Linked DNA regions of Elephas maximus indicus. The protein of the gene in region 2 interacts with the protein of the main gene of each other region in a biochemical or structural test. Links are inferred from orthologs where the notes say so. Each region holds a gene or a part of one and is shown on either strand. Other genes may lie near its edges.

Region 1 (8,054 bases), on a different chromosome or scaffold from region 2:
CAAAAGACACAGACTCTGAAGCAACTTTGCCACTTACTAGCTGTTTGGCCTTGGGTATATTACTTAAACTCTCTGTGCCTCAGTTTCCTCATCTGTAAAATAGGGATAACATTTATTGACAGGGCTGTTGTGAGGGCTAAATGAATTATTATTATATGTTGTGAGGGTAAAAGCCCTTAGAGGATGGCATGTAATAAGCTATGATTTCTGTCTCATATAGTAGTCTGTAAGCTCCTTGATGATGAATGATAAACAATTACAGCAGCTGACATTTCCTGGGTGTTTATCCCGTAAGAGATGCTGTGTTGAGTGGTTTACATGCATTATCTTCTTTAAAATCAATCTTACAAGTAGGTATTGTTATCCGAATTTTACAGATAAAGAAAATAAAACCAAAACCAAACCAAACCCAGTGCTGTCGAGTCGATTCCGACTCATAGCGACCCCATAGGACAGAGTAGAACTGCCCCATAGAGTTTTCAAGGAGCGCCTGGCAGATTCGAACTGCTGACCCTTTGGTTAGCAGCCGTAGCACTTAACCACTACGCCACCAGGGTTTCCAAAGAAAATAAAGCTTAGAAAATTACGTCAACTTCTTTGAGGTCACAGTTAATTAGAGATAAAGTCTAGATAAAAATTCAGACCTGTCTAACACCATGGTTTTCTCTCTTATCTACCATACTATGTTGTTTTCTTCACCCTAAAGTATCCAGTGCCTACCAACACATTAGATCCTCACTGCTGCTTAATGTATGTTCAGTGAATTGGTAAAGAAATCCTCTTTTTTGGGGGAGAAGTTACCAAGATTAAGAAAGTAAAGGAGAATATCAATTCAATCAGAACAGGCAAAACACAAACCCAAGGACTCAAGAGCAAAACCCTGGAGCGGAAGTCTCTGTGGAAATGAGAGATACTATGTTCATTCCTCTTAACCAAAGTCCAATTCTGGGATGTCCAAAACGATGCTTTTGTATTAGCCAGTCAACATCACACTCACTTGAAATCTTCATTTTTGATAAACTCTACAATGATATCCTTCTCGGGTTGAATCTGCAGCATCTTCAAGGTCAAACACAGAAAGGGAGTTGGCTTTATGTTGCCGCCATAAACGCCACCCACAAACCTTAACTCCATGGCTTTATCAACTACAAGTTCAGCTAAAAAAAGAAAAACAAAAACAAATCAAGTGCCATCTCAGATACTTCAGGGTTAAGCTTATCCTGGTGTGAAGTGGAAAGAAGTCAGTTCACGTGTTGGTGCTCCAGAACACTCACCAACAGTTTAGTATTAGGAGAGCAAGTGCATATTAATAACAATAATAACACCAAAACCAAACTAAACCTGGTGCCGCTGAGTCAATTCCGACTCATAGCGATTCTACAGAACAGAGCAGAACTGCCCCACAGGGTTTCCAAGGAGCAGCTGGTGGCTTCTAACTGCTGACTTTTTGGTTAGCAGCCATAGCTGTTAACCACTGTGCCACCAGAGCTCCATAAAAATAACAATAGTAGCATCTAATTGAGGGCTTACTATATGCCCAGTGCTCTGCTAAGCATTTCATATTATCTCATTTAATCTTCACAGCAAACCATGACCTAAGTTCTAGCATTGTTCTCTACTTTTAGATAAGGAAACTCAGGCCTAAGAAAGGTTAAGTGACTTGCTCCAGGCCCAGAGCCAAAAAGTTACAGGGCCTGGATTTAAATCTAAGCGGTCTAACTTCAGAGTCCACGCTCATCACCATCATGCTAGGGAAAAAATTGCTGGATTAAAAATTAAAAAAAAAAAAAAAACTCAATAGCTACACAACCTCGAGTAAGTCTCTCCCACAGAATGGCAATAATAACCTCCCAACACTGTTGCCAATACTCAAACAATAGCGGTGTGATCTTAGGCCAGTCATTTTATCTCTCTTTGAGTCTGTCAGCTCAACTGGGTTGTAGTGAGGATTGAATGCGATAATATACATAAAACGCTAAGTACCTACGTGAGGCAGCTCAGCTCCTAACAAAAAGACCGATTTTTCTGAAAAGCATAACCACTTCCCTTCCCAACAGAGCCCTAGTGGCGCAGTGGTTAACCAAAAGGTTTAACGGTTCAAACCCAGCAGCCGTTCGGCAGGCCAAAGATGTGACAGTCTGCTTCCATAAAATTTACAGCCTTGGAAACGCTATGGGGCAGTTCTACTCTGTCCTAGGGTCGCTATGAGTCAGAATTGACTGGATGGCAGTGGGTTTTTTTCCTTCCCAACGCTAGGTTAGGTTCCCTTGTCGTACATTTCTATTGCGTTCTGCTGCTTCTTTCAAACTACTCATCATACTTTCGTTTTTCATACTTCCTGCCTTGCTAAGTTATAAACTCATTAATAGTATTGACTGTGTCTGTCTTGTTCATCCATATACCTGTATCTCTAGTACTCAGCACAGTGCCTAGCTATAAATTGTTTAGCTATAATGCTGAATATATTAATACAGAATTTATCCTAAAGAACTTGCAGTCTGATTTCTTAAGCGATAGCTCGTTAATGGTTAAAAAAAAAAAAAAAAAAAAGCTCCGTGGCCGTCAAGTCGATTCTGACTCATAACAACCCTATAGGGCAGAGTAGAACTGCCCCTCATAGGGTTTCCTAGGCTGAAATCTTTACGGAGCAGATCGCCAGATCTTTTCTCCCGCTGAGCGGCTGATGGGTTCGAACTTGTCGCTTAACCATTGCTCCACCAGGGCTCCTTTTCATGACACACTCCTCTCCAATCCTACCCACCAACACTGAGCCAGTCTTGCCCCCAGGGGCCAATCCCATTCAGCGCCCAGCCAGGGGGGGTGGGCCACAAGCAGCCGAGGCGGTGCGCGCGCTCCCGCTCACCTGTAAGTCCAAAACATTCCTCTTTCCAGTACTTGGACTCATAAATTCGCGTCCGAATGATCTTCTCCACAAGATATTGAGGGTTGGTGCCGTGGATGCTGTGTGCATCCTTCACCGTACGGTTCGCCATCTTAGAAAGCCTTCAGCTCTATTTCCGTCGGGTCCTTTAATACGTCACATCCAGGTTAAAAAAAAAAAAAAAAAAACTCGATGGGGATGGAAAAATCACTAACTCTCCGAGGCGACCATTTTGAAACCGGAAACTCTGATGTGGAAGGAACTAACTTCCGTGAACAGAAACCCCGCCCAAACCAATGATGGCTGCTGCACGTCGGCAGACGTACGTCATGCGTCCAATCTACGTAGGCGGGACGGGAGAGCTGGTTGGTGTCGTAACACGGAGACAGCCTGGGGGCGGGACTACGTCGTTTGGCGCGAAATTCTCTTTTCTCCACCTTCTTCTTGCCGTCCTTAGCGAGGCATCGGCTTTGCCGGTGGCGTTCGGCTTGGTCGCGATCCTCGTGGCTGTAAGAGGAGGCGTCCAGCTGGGGCAATTTAGAGTTGCTGCAGCACCAGGAGCTCCTGAAGCGGAGGCGGGGGGAAGCAGAGGGCTTGCGCCCAGCCTGAGGAAGCTTCGGTCTCCGGGTGAGTCTGCGGGCTGGAGGCAGACCTGAGCCGCTAGAACTGAGGGTGTTCTCTACAGACTCACATATTCACTAATTCATTCAGCAGACATTTACTAAGCCCCCGTTAAGTGCCAGGCACCTTTCTAACCCCGGCAAAAGGCGTCTTTTTCCCCATCCCAACTCCTAAAATGCTTCCTGCTGCGCCAGGGACTGAGAATTGGCACTGGGGAAGCCGGAAGCCTACAGCAGCGCCCTCGGACTCTCAGCAATGCTCGGAACTGTTCCTTCCGTCTATGTTGCCCCTTGTGATGCACTCGCATCTGTTTCCTGCTTTGAGCCTCAGTGTTGCACTACAGGGAAGGCGGAACAGCAAAAGTTATTACCCCATTTTATGGATGTAGCGATTTTGCCCAGACAAAAACATTTTTAAGTCTGGGTCGCTTTTAGTACCCAGGTCTTTTCTGGATTAGTTGCTCTTTACTGCTGGGCTCTAATTCACATTTTTTTTTTCCAGAAGAAAATTTTAATGGCGCTTTTCCCAATTATTCTAGGCTGATCCCGGAATAGAGGGCAAAACGCGTCAGCTGGAAAAAAAGCATTGTTTTCTTCTGGGCTACTATCTGTGAAACGCAGTGATTGGATATGTTAATTTTATCTTGTCTGTAAAAAAATGACCTTTGTTTGTTTTGTTGGGTGCTTGTGAGTGCCAGTGGAGGTTTTGGATGTGCGAGCATAGTTAGCCAAACCCCTCTGCAACAGCTTTTAACTGTAACAGAGGACAGTATTGGGACTTTAAAAGGTTTATGAATCCCCTTAAATGGAATGCAAAATTTTGTGTTAACTGTATGTGAGTTCTGTAACACTCATGATATTATTAAAACAAAAAAAAAAACCATTGCCTCTTACAAATAAATGGAAGGGGGATTAAGGGAGTGGGGGAGTGAATTTATCATTATGCATTTCACTTAATCTTCAACAATCGTAGAATAGTTCCTGGCACACAGTGGGTGTTTAAAAATTTATCCTCATTTTGTGGGTAAAGAAATTGAGATTCAGTTGGCCACTCGATGGGTTAGGAAACCTAACTTATTATAATAAACATACCAAAAGTGAGCTCTCATTGGCATGTGTTATTGACATTATCCAGTTTCTCAGTAAGGAGAAGTGGTTAAGAGCATAGTCACTGGAATCTGGATGTTCAGAGTGTCAGTTAAGGCTCTGTCATTCTGTATAACATTGGATACCTTGGAAGTGATAATAGCAGCTACCTTTCATTCAGCAAATATTTATTATTGAGCACCAACAGTGCACTTACTGTGTACCAGCATTGTTCTAGGGTTATTGTGAGGATTAAATGAGATAAATGTGTCAAGAGCTTTGGCCCAGCCTTCTGTCATATTGGTGAAATAAATATCTGCTATCATTGTTTTTTGGAGCCCTGGTGGCACAGTGGTTAAGAGCTTGGCTGCTAAACAAAAGGTGGGTAGTTCAAATCCACCAGCTGCTCCTTGGAAACCCTATGGGGCAGTTCTACTTTGTCCTAAAGTGGAGAGTTATAGAAAAAAAGGGAGACCCCTCGAGGAGATGGATTGACACAATGGCTGCAACAGTGAGCTTAAGCATAGCAACGATTGTCAGATGGCACAGGACTGGCAGTGCTTCGTTCTGTTGTGCAGAGGGTTGCTATGAGTTAGATCTGACTCAACGGGGCAATGGGTTTGGTTTTAGGTATCATTGTTTTTACTGCAACTCAATGATCTGTTTTTCTTGGGTGTGGCCTCTGGACTGAGTGGTGTGTGTCTTCCAGATTTCCAGTATCTGTGACATCCAGAGCCTGTAGTGGGTTATCTTATAGAAGCCAAAGCCTTTTGCATGGCCAAGTCAGGCCTGTCTTCCTATTCCATCCACCATCCCTCTTGGGGAATGTCTGTGCTGAGATGAAATGCTGGATTGGTCTAAGAGTGGGGTACAAGAGGCTCTGATTTCCTTATGCTGCTTCTTCAGAAGAACTACTAACGTTTGAGCTTTTCACTGAAGAATAAGGTATATTCGGGGAAGTGCACAAATCATAAATGTAGAGGGTAATGTATTTTCTCAAAGAGAATATACCCACGGATCCAACATCCAGATCAAGCAACGACATTACCAGCATCCCAGAAGTCGCCTTGCCATGTCTCCTTTCAGTTACCTAGGTTATCCTCTCTTCTCACTTCTAACAACACAGATGACTTTTGTCTGTTTTTGTGCTTTACGTAAACAAAACCAATATAGTTTGTATTCTTTTCGTGTCTTATTTCTTAAGCTCAACTATATTTCCCGAGGTTTCCCCCACATAGTTGCATGGAGTTGTAGTTGCTTCAATTTCATGGCTGTATAATGCTGCTAGGAATATTCTTGTCTATGCCTTTTGATGATATGTGTGTATTCTTGTTGGGTATATCCCTTGGAATGGAACAGCTGAATCGCAGGTGATGCGTATGTTCAGCTTTAGTAGATGCTGCTAGTTTCCAAAGTGATTGTACCAATACCCACTTCTTCCAGCAGGGCATGAGAGTTCCGGCTGCTCTATGTCCTTCATTCCTGATGCTTGGCCTCCTGATGATTTTAAAAACCAGTTCATTTCATTCAGTCAGTCTTTTACCTACTACGTGCCAGGTCCTGACCTAGGCCCTGGGAATGCAGTCATGACTTAAGATAGGGTCTCTGCTCCTTTGGAAGTTACATTCTAATGTGGGAAGCAGAGAAAATAGCATAATGGTTATTGCTTTGATGAAAAGTAAAATAAGGTTGTATAATGGAACATGATCCCCGGGGGATAGCATAAAGAGGGGCAGTGCGTAACATTCGATCGGGTGTCAGCAAAGACCTCTCTGAGGAAGTGACATTGGAGCTGAAACTTGAGCCATCCCTGCAAAGACGTGTAGGAAGAGATGATAGCAACTGCAGAAATCTGAGAGGAGTAACAACCTTGGTCTTTTTGAGGTTTGGAAAGGAGGCCTGAAGCTGAGTGACAGGCAGAGGTGGAGGCAGGTTCTACAGTCCAGTTAGCCTCCCTTCGTCACCTGCTCAGCCTAGGGACAATCACCCACCCTTTCACACATACACCCATATACTGGCTGGTCTCATTGCACACAGCCCATGGTCTACTAGAAAATGAATATTGCCTTAGTTTTTGGAAGAGGACACCTGCTGTGGTAAACTGCAATATAACCTGGATTTAAAACAGTTGAGAACATGAATTTGAGTACTTTATAAGTATGGAGGAAACCCTGGTGGTGTAGTGGTTAAGTGCTACAGCTGCTAACCAAAGGGTCAGCAGTTCAAATCCGCCAGGTGTTCCTTGGAAACTCTATGGGGCAGTTGTACTCTGTCCTATAGGGTCGCTATGAGTCGGAATCGACTCAACAGCACTGGGGTTTTTTTTTTTTTTTTTGGTATAGGTATGGAGACAAGCTTTCTGTATGCCCGTTTGTTGGTTTGAAATAAGATCACTGTGACAGTGAAATCAGACTGTCCTACAATTAGATTATTTAAGAATTGTAGAAAGTTTGCTGGGAAATACTAATTTGCTACAAAACACTCTCCGATTTTCCCATTTTAACGAGAGATCTTAGTGGGTACTGCAATTTACTTGAATCGTTTGTGTCTCGTAGCATATTTGGCTTGATTTCACTGTGGAAAAGGTGAAGAGTTCCAGTTTACTTCTGATCGTTCCATGTTACATGATCCATTAAACCAAACCCATTGCCGTTGAGTCGATTCCAACTCATAGTGACCCTATAAGTTATGTATTTCCTTGAACAATTATTCAGATTCAAGTACTTTTACTAATTGTTACCAAAAGATTATTGGATATTATGCATCCAAATTCATTTGTTACTTGAGCACAAGTATTCTGTTTTTACTCATCAATCTGTTATTTCTACAGTGTACTTAATTAAAATTAGCTTGGTTTTAATAGAAGTGTGTTGTAATTATACTGTACATAAATGTACATAATAACAATCGTTCATACATCTTCTGTGAGTCAAGGTTCTCAAAAATAATGTGAGACATAATGCCACTGAACTTTAGGAAACCAGCTTGTTTAGTTAGGATGTTGATAGGCTGTTCTAACTCTGTCGTTTTCAACACAGACTGGTGTTAATGGACTTTCTATAGGAATTCAGAATAATTCTTTGAGTTTTTTTTTTCAACCCCAGTTTTGCCAGATTTTAGCTCCATAAGAAAAACACTGAATTCAGAGGAAAGGTTTTTTGTTTTTTGTTTTTTTTTAGTTATTTAAGCTTAAGATAATGGGCCAGAATTATTATTAGATCTAGTAGATTTCAGTTTCCAAATTATAAAGATGATTATCCGATAGGTTTTCATTCACGTTTCTGTTTTTAACACTAAAAATGTCCTTTTTTCCATATACTTTAATGCAAGTATTTCGTTTCAGCTGTTTACAATACTCATATCCAGGACCTGTCAGCTGCAAAGGAAAATACTGTCCAACTGCCAGAGCAGTACAGGTTAGTGACCCTGATTTTTTTTTTTTTTAATATAAGTGGGAAGATACACTT
Region 2 (8,059 bases):
GCCTTTATCCTCATCCACCAAACTCTGTTAGTCCCTCATTAACAGTCATTCAGTCCAACAAAATACAAATCTTGAGCAAAGTGAAACTGAAAATCTGCAAAAGATACATTTCACAAAGTTGATGGAAAACACAAAGGAAATGCTAGAATCCCAAGCAAAAATACTAAAAAAATGAGGCTATAGTAAGTATTAGAAGGGTTAGTAAATAAAAACAAAAATCAACAAGGACAATAATATGCTAAGTGTCACAAGAATGAGAACTGTTCAATTATTAGAGACAGAGAGGGAAAATAATAAAACTCTTAAATAGTTTGCAAAAATTCCCTCCATGTCCAATCATGTTATCACGTAACTTAGTATGAAAAGGTATGCCAAAAACAATCAACACGATATATTTTTTCATTCATTCTAAAAATCCGTACATATTTAATAACAAGTTTTGTTAAATAAAATGTATAAGCTTACATAAATTTGATTTCATTTTTCAAGTTATAATCCCAATTCTACTCCCCATTCCTTAACAGTTGCCTTTATGGATAACATTACAAAGAATGGGAATTCCAGAACACTTGATTGCGCTCATGTGGAACCTGTACACAGATCAAGAGGCAGTTGTTTGAACACAACAAAGGTACACTGCGTGGTTTAAAATAAGGAAAGGTGTGCATCAGGGTTATATCCTTTCACCACACTTATTCAATCTGTAGGCTGAGCAAATAATCAGAGAAGCCAGACTGTATGAAGAAGAATGCAGCTCCGGGATTGGAAGAAGACTCATTAACAAACTGCGATATGCAGATGACACAACCTTGCTTGCTAAAAGTGAGGCAGACTTGAAGTACTTATCAATGAAGATCAAAGACTGCAGCCTTCAGTATGGATTACACATCAACACAAAGAAAACAAAAAATTCTGACAAATGAATCAATAAGCAACATGATAAACGGAGAAAATATTGCAGTTGTCAAAGATTTCATTTTACTTGGATCCACAAATCAATGCCTATGGAAGCAGCAGTCAAAAAATCAAAAGATGCATTCACACCGCATTAGGAAAATCTGCTGTAAAAGACCTCTTCAAAGTGTTAAGAAGCAAAGATGTCACATTAAGGACTAAGGTGCACCTGACACAAGCCATGGTGTTTTCAGTTGCCTCATATGCATGCGAAAGCTGGACAATGAATAAAGAAGACCAAAGAAGAACTGATGCCTTTGAATTATGATATTGGCAAAGAATACTGAATATACCATGGACTGCCAGAAGTAACAAACAAATCTGTCTTGGAAGAAATACAGCCAGAATACTCCTTAGACACGAGGATGGCAAGGCTTCGTCTCAAGTACTTTGGACATATTATCAGGAGGGACCAGTCCCTGGTGAAGAAAATCATGCTTGGTGAAGTAGAGAGCCAGCAAAAAACAGGAAGACCCTCAACGAGATAGACTGACACAGTGGTTGCAACAATGAGGTCAAGCTTAACAACTGTGAAGATGGTTCAGGACCAGGTGGTGTTTCATTCTGTTAACACTTATGGTCGCTATGAGTTGCCATGACTTGCTGACACCTAACAACAATAATTCCAAAACAGGATTACTTGTGTTCCTGAATATGATAACGTGCCAGTGGACTACAGTATGTTCACACCAAACTCTGCAACGAGGCAGGGGCTGGGGGAAGGGGGTTAAAGGAAGTGAAGGAGGTGGTTTCAGACTGGAGACACTGCTGCCACTTACCAGAAACTCCATTTTACTAGAGGAAATATTTTTTTTCCTGTCAAAAGTCTTTCATTGTTATTCTGGATGTAATTTGTAAACCAAGAAATAAACTAGTTTACTATGAGAGGTTTGCTGTTGACTTTCAAATTCTACGAAGAAAAGCAAGCAAATTCCCCCGAAATTGTGGTCTCTATTCTTAGCAATACCCACCTTCAGAGAAGTGTGACTGCAAGCCAGTGAGCAAGAAGGCAGAGAGGGGAAGAGAAAGCTGTTCAGGCCACATCCACACCAGCAGTCCAACATCCCAGATCACCCAGCCTAAGTGCTGTGTAGAATAAATTAAAACTTTACATTCATTGCACAATATGGGTTATCTGTTATTTCAGAAACTAAATGCAAAAAAAGTATTACAGTGTGAAAATACGAATGTTTAAATAAATTCCTAATGTTATTAGCCTCACCATCTTGGCCCTTCATTAGCAATGAAATGTATTGAAACTGATCCCTAAAAACAGTCTAAATTTCTCACCACAGCGAAGTATCATTAATAGTTAATTCTGCCCCTAAACAGAACAAAGACACTTACTTACACTGAGCCTGGTGGGGAAGACAGAAGAAGTAACACAAGTTCTTGGATGACTGTGAGTTGTTATACTCAGGATGAGACCCAATGCTCTGTTCAGCATGAGGCCAAGTTTCAAAGTTTTCTCTGTTCTACATTTAAAAAAACAAGTATCATTTGTAAAATTTTCTACTATATCTCTTTTAGAAATTATACCAGAGAGTAATGCTGAGAGAATGGAAGTATTTTCATAATCCTAACTTAAAGATAATTCTTTAAATACTACATATTAATATCCAACTGGAACTGCTTGAGTCTCTAATGTTGTGACTCACAGGTCATACCTTATGCCAACTTAATTTCATTTACAATTTTCATATATGAAGGACTGTTAGTTCACCAAGGTAATGCCTGTTTTCCTCCTCCTCTGATAAACCAAGGCCCATGGGAACATCTCAAAAGGAAACTTCACTATATTAGGAGGTGGCAAAATTATTGTGCAAGGCTTACTTACATGTGTAAGAAAACAAGCCTTATCAAAATATGCAGGCAAAAGAGGAAGTTTCCCTGATGCCCAACACACATTTTCAAACCTTAAGAACTGAAATTGATGAGATACAGCCTTAACTTGACCGTCCTCCTATATTCCCTGAGCACCAACAGGTGTTGGGGCAAAGAGACTGGTTACAAATATATATAAGGCTAAAATCCCTAATATTAAACATTTACCTTGAACTGTCAGGCTCATTTAATCCTTTATATGAATTAACTAATTAAATTCTCACAACAAAGGGAAGAGGTAGGTACTTAAGATAATTTCCATCTGACACATGTGGAAACTAAAGCCCAGAAAGTTTAAGAAATTTGCTCAAGATTCGAGAGCTAAACAATTCCATTTACAGTAACACCAAAAACAAATAAATAAAATACTTAGGAATAAATTTAAACAAGGAAGTACAAAACTTGTAAATGGAAAACTACAAAAGATTGCTGAAAGAAATTAAAGGCCTAAATAAATGGAAAGGCCTCCGTGTTCATAAATTGGAAGACTTAATATTGTTAAGATGACAGCACTCCTCAAATTGCTTTACAAATTCAAAGCAATCACTATCAAAATTCCAACAGCCACTTTGGCAAAAATGAACAAGCTAACCCTAAAATTCATAAGGAAATGTAACGGGCCTTGAATAGTCAAAACAATCTTGACAAAGAAAAAGAGGACTCACACATCTCAACTTCGAAAAGCTTGAGTGATCAAGACAGTGTGGTACTGGCATAAAGACAGATATATAAATCAGTGAACTAGAACTGAGAGTTCAGAAATAAACCCCTGTATCTATGATTAATGTCAACAAGGGTGCCAAGACCAATCAATGGGGAAAGAATACTCTCTTCAACAAATGGTGCTGGGACAACTTGGATATCCACATGCAAAAGAATGAACTGAACACTTACTTAACTACCTAAACAAAAATTAACCAAAAATGGATCAAAGGCCTAAAGAACAGTCTTAGTTATCTAGTCCTTCTATAACAGAAATACCATAAGTAGATGGCTTTAACAAACAGCAATTTATTCTCTCACAGCTTAGGAGGATAGAAGTCCCAATTCAGGGCACCAGCTCTAGGGGAACGCTTTCTCTCTGTCTGCTCTGAGGAAAGGTCCTCATCCCCTTTCAACATCTGTGGGCCTGGTGTTCCTTGGAGATCGCCATGTTTCTTGGCATCAATCTTCTCCTGGGTCTAGGAGGTTCTTGGCACAGGGACCCCGGGTCCAAAGGGTGCACTCCGCTACGGGCTCTTCTTTCTTTGTGGTAGGCAGGTCCCTCCTCTCTGCTCCATTCTCTCTCCTTTTATCTCTTGTAAAAGGAAAGGTGTGACTCAAGCAAGGGTGATGTATGCTACCCTAATCCTGCTTCATTAACATAACAAGCATAATTGGATCTCATTAACAAAACCTAATCCTGTCTCATTCACATACAGAAGTCAGGATTTACAACACATAAAATGGAGCATAATCAGATCACAAAATGGAGGACAACCACACAATACAGGAAATCAGGACCTAGCCAAGTTGACACATATTTTGGGAGGGCACAATTCGATCCATGACATTCTACTTTATGGCCTCCAAAATTCATGTCCTTGCCACATGTCAAACACATTAACCCCATCACTAAGTAAAAGCTAAAACTATAATATCCTTATAGAGGGAAACATAGGTGTAAATCTTCATAATCTTGCATCAGGCAATGGTTTCTTAGGTATAGCACCAAAGCATAAATAATAAAAGATTAAAAAAATATATGGAGTAAATTGGACTTCATCAAAATTAAAAATTTTGTACATCAAAGAACATTATTAAGAAAGTAAAAACAGAATGGGAGAGAATATTTGCAAATCAGGTATCTAATAAAGGTATAGCATCCATATATAAAGAACTCTTACAACTCAACAATAAAAAAAAAAAAAAGAACAATCCAGTTTAAAAATAGGCAAAGGATTTGACTAGGCATTTCTCCAGGATATACAAATGGCCAACAAATGAAAAGATGTTCAACAACATTCGTTGTTAGAGAAATGCAAATCAAAACCACAATGACATACCACTTCATTCCCACTAAAACCAAAAACCAAACTTGCTGCTGTCCAGTCAATTTTGACTCATAGCAACCTTACAGGACAGAGTACAACTGCCCCATAGAGTTTCTAAGGAGCAGATGGCAGATTCAAACTGCAGACCTTTTGGTTAGCAGCCAACCACCCTCTAGGATGATGACTATAATAAAAAAATACAGACAATAAAAAGCGTTGGAACCTTCAGGCACTGCTGATGGGAATGAGAAATGGTATGACCACGGCAGAAAACAGTATGCTACCTCCTCAAAAACTTACTCATAGAATTACCTTATGACCCAGCAATTACACTCATAGGTGTAATACCCAAGAGACTGAAAACAGATGTTCACATAAATACCTTTACATTAATATTCACAACAGCATTATTCATAACTGCCAAAAAGGGGGGGGTGTCTATCAACCAATGAATGGATAAACAAAATGTGGAATATCCATACATGAAAAGGAATGGAATACTGATACATGCTACCAAATGGATAAACCCTGAAAGCATTATGCTAAATGAAAGATGCCAGACACAAAAGATCACATATTGTACAATTCTATTTATATGAAACATCCAGAATACATTTCGATACAAACACAAAATTGACAGAGACAGAAGGCAGATTAGGGGTTGACCAGGGATGGGAGAGGGGAGACTGGGGAGTATCTGTTAATAGGTACAGGGTTTCTTTTAAGGGTAATGGAAATACTATGGAATTAGATAGGCATGATAGCTGTACGAAGGATCCCTGGTAGCACAGTATTTAAGTGTTCAGCTGTTAACTGATAGCTTGGTGGTATGAACCCATCATCCACTCCACGGGAGAAAATGTGGTTTTGGATGGTTCCACAACATGTAAATATACTCAAAACCACTGGATTGTACACTTTAAAATGTCGATGTTTATGTTATGTGAATTTTATCTCAAAAAAAAAAAAAATTCAGAGCTAGCAAGTAAAAGAACCAAGATGAGAATCCAGGCATTCTTCTAACTCCAAAGCCTAGCTCCATAGCTAGCTGTGCTACAGAGACTGCAAGGAGGAAATGACCTATCTGTCCGGAGCAGGGAGTGGTCAGAGGCATTTGGGCTTGGTTATGTAGGTTATGGAGGACCTGCCAGGTGAAGAAAGTAAGCTGGAGTCCATTCCAAGCAGAAAAACTGCACAAGCGAAGCTACTGAGAATCATTCATGTGGGCCATCTAAGTCAATGTGGTAGGTGACAATAGTGAGGTGAACACTGATAGCAAATGAACCAGAGATACTGGCAGGGACCTGTTCCTACAGCATCTTATATATCACACAAAAAAGTCTTGGTTTTATTTAGTAAAAATATAATCAGCTCTACAGTCAAAACTAAAATAAGAGATTCAATAGGTAAATGAGATCTAAAAGCAAATTTTAAAAATTTTATGTGATAGTGGGAGAAAAACATTAAACTTTTCATGGAGCTTTTTATAAGGCTTGTCGATTCACCATAATTCATTTTGTGTCTGTACGCCCACACAGTACCCCTCAGGAACTTTGCCAATTATCACTTTTCTCATTTGTAAATCCTAAAATTCTCACCTCAAGCCTCAGTTCGTCGCTTATTTCTATAAAAAATCTTTCTCACAGCAGCAATAGTAAAGTCTACTTCCAAGGCTTTGTTGCTTTGCAAATGTTATGAAGTACCACAGACACTTCAGCAAAATAGACCAAGTCTATTTTATTCTTGTTTTACGGTCTACAAGGTTCCCTACCAATTACATGAACATGAAATCCAAACTAGTTCTGCATTTTAATAAACAGAAGTCAGCGTACAGGACCATAAACACATCAAGAATACAAAAAGTCTTAGGTCTGTTTTATCAAGTGACCTTGAATCAGTATCCCAGAGTACACACTCTTCGTCTTTATCATCTTTAGCTGTACACTGAGTCGCTAGCTTCTAGTCACTTGAAAACAACATTTTAAGCATGAAATAATGCCTGAAGATTAATAATATACTAGTAATAAATAGCAACAATAACAGTAATAACTAACATTTTATTATTTTCTACCAGTTATGTGTCAAGCACTCTTCTGTTTGCTTTACATATAATAACTCTCTTAATCCTCCCATAACCATGCAAGAGAAATATTATCATTACCCTCATTTTACAAACAGGAAAACTGAGGCACAGAAAGGCTAAGTAACTTACCATGGGTCACAGAGGTAGTATGGCAGAGCAGGGATCTGAACCCAGGTAGTCTATGCCTAGGGTCTGAGCCCTCAACTGCTGTATGCCAGCAGATGAGACTATTGTATTCAACAAAATCTCTTCAACAAAAAGGATCCTGTTCTTTTAGGGCTTGCAACTTGGAGGGCACGAAGTGATGAATATAAATACGTAAAATTACAAAACAAACTTAAATACTGCTATACAAACATCAGCTACAGGAACGATTACACTGAATATGGGTAAATCCCAATACATACAGATATAGGTAAAGTTTTATTATTTCATAGGTATACATGCTGGGAATAAGGGGAAAAAAGATAAAAATCACATCCTTGCTTTCAGTTAAAGAGGTAAGATGGCACAGGATTCCAGAGAACTTTCAAAAAGGTAAGAGACAAGAGAGAGCCAGAAAATCCCAGACATAGATTCTGGAGCTCCATAAGGCTATTTCCCACAGGAACAAGTATTTTCCTCCTTTAATTTTGGATCATTTTAACCCATATATCTAAATAAAATAATTACACATTTACGGTTTATACATTTTTAAATACATCTATCTTAACTGTTGACATACTATATTGGTTTTTCATGAGTATTACCACCACCATCACTTCAGCGTTACACTAATAAATGGCTCAAAAGAAGAAAAACAGTTGTACTACACCAAATGAAATTTCACAACCACCCCCCTAAGGGGCCAGTAAATTAACCCTGGCTGGAAATAAGGGGAAAATGAATGCAAAGAAGCTAATATTTAATAAATGCACATAACAAAGCACTGCAAAACACTTCACTTACATTAACAATTTTTCAAAATCTGTACCATTTTCCCAAACATTATAGTTTCAGGAACTAAGGCATAGACTGAGTAACTAACCCAACAGCTCATAGGTATTTTCATGAAAATTTCATTCCATATGTCATAGACATTTTGTCCTTGGCCCATGTGTCTTTA

Evidence for each region.
Region 1: of the proteins of SRPK2 (region 2) and PRPF38A, one has a biochemical effect on the other in vitro, tested with the Homo sapiens proteins (2 studies listed by BioGRID and IntAct). The link is inferred for Elephas maximus indicus from reciprocal best matches to the Homo sapiens genes SRPK2 and PRPF38A.

What each region holds. Positions count from the first base shown.
Region 1 is NC_064821.1:95,523,684-95,531,737, reverse strand, and holds the start of PRPF38A (pre-mRNA-splicing factor 38A), read right to left. Parts: upstream 3,054-8,054; 5' UTR 2,994-3,053; coding exon 2,864-2,993; intron 1,158-2,863; coding exon 998-1,157; intron 1-997. UniProt on the Homo sapiens protein: Involved in pre-mRNA splicing as a component of the spliceosome.
Region 2 is NC_064826.1:44,370,997-44,379,055, reverse strand, and holds the start of SRPK2 (SRSF protein kinase 2), read right to left. Parts: upstream 3,079-8,059; 5' UTR 2,402-3,078; coding exon 2,306-2,401; intron 2,041-2,305; coding exon 1,926-2,040; intron 1-1,925. UniProt on the Homo sapiens protein: Serine/arginine-rich protein-specific kinase which specifically phosphorylates its substrates at serine residues located in regions rich in arginine/serine dipeptides, known as RS domains and is involved in the phosphorylation of SR splicing factors and the regulation of splicing.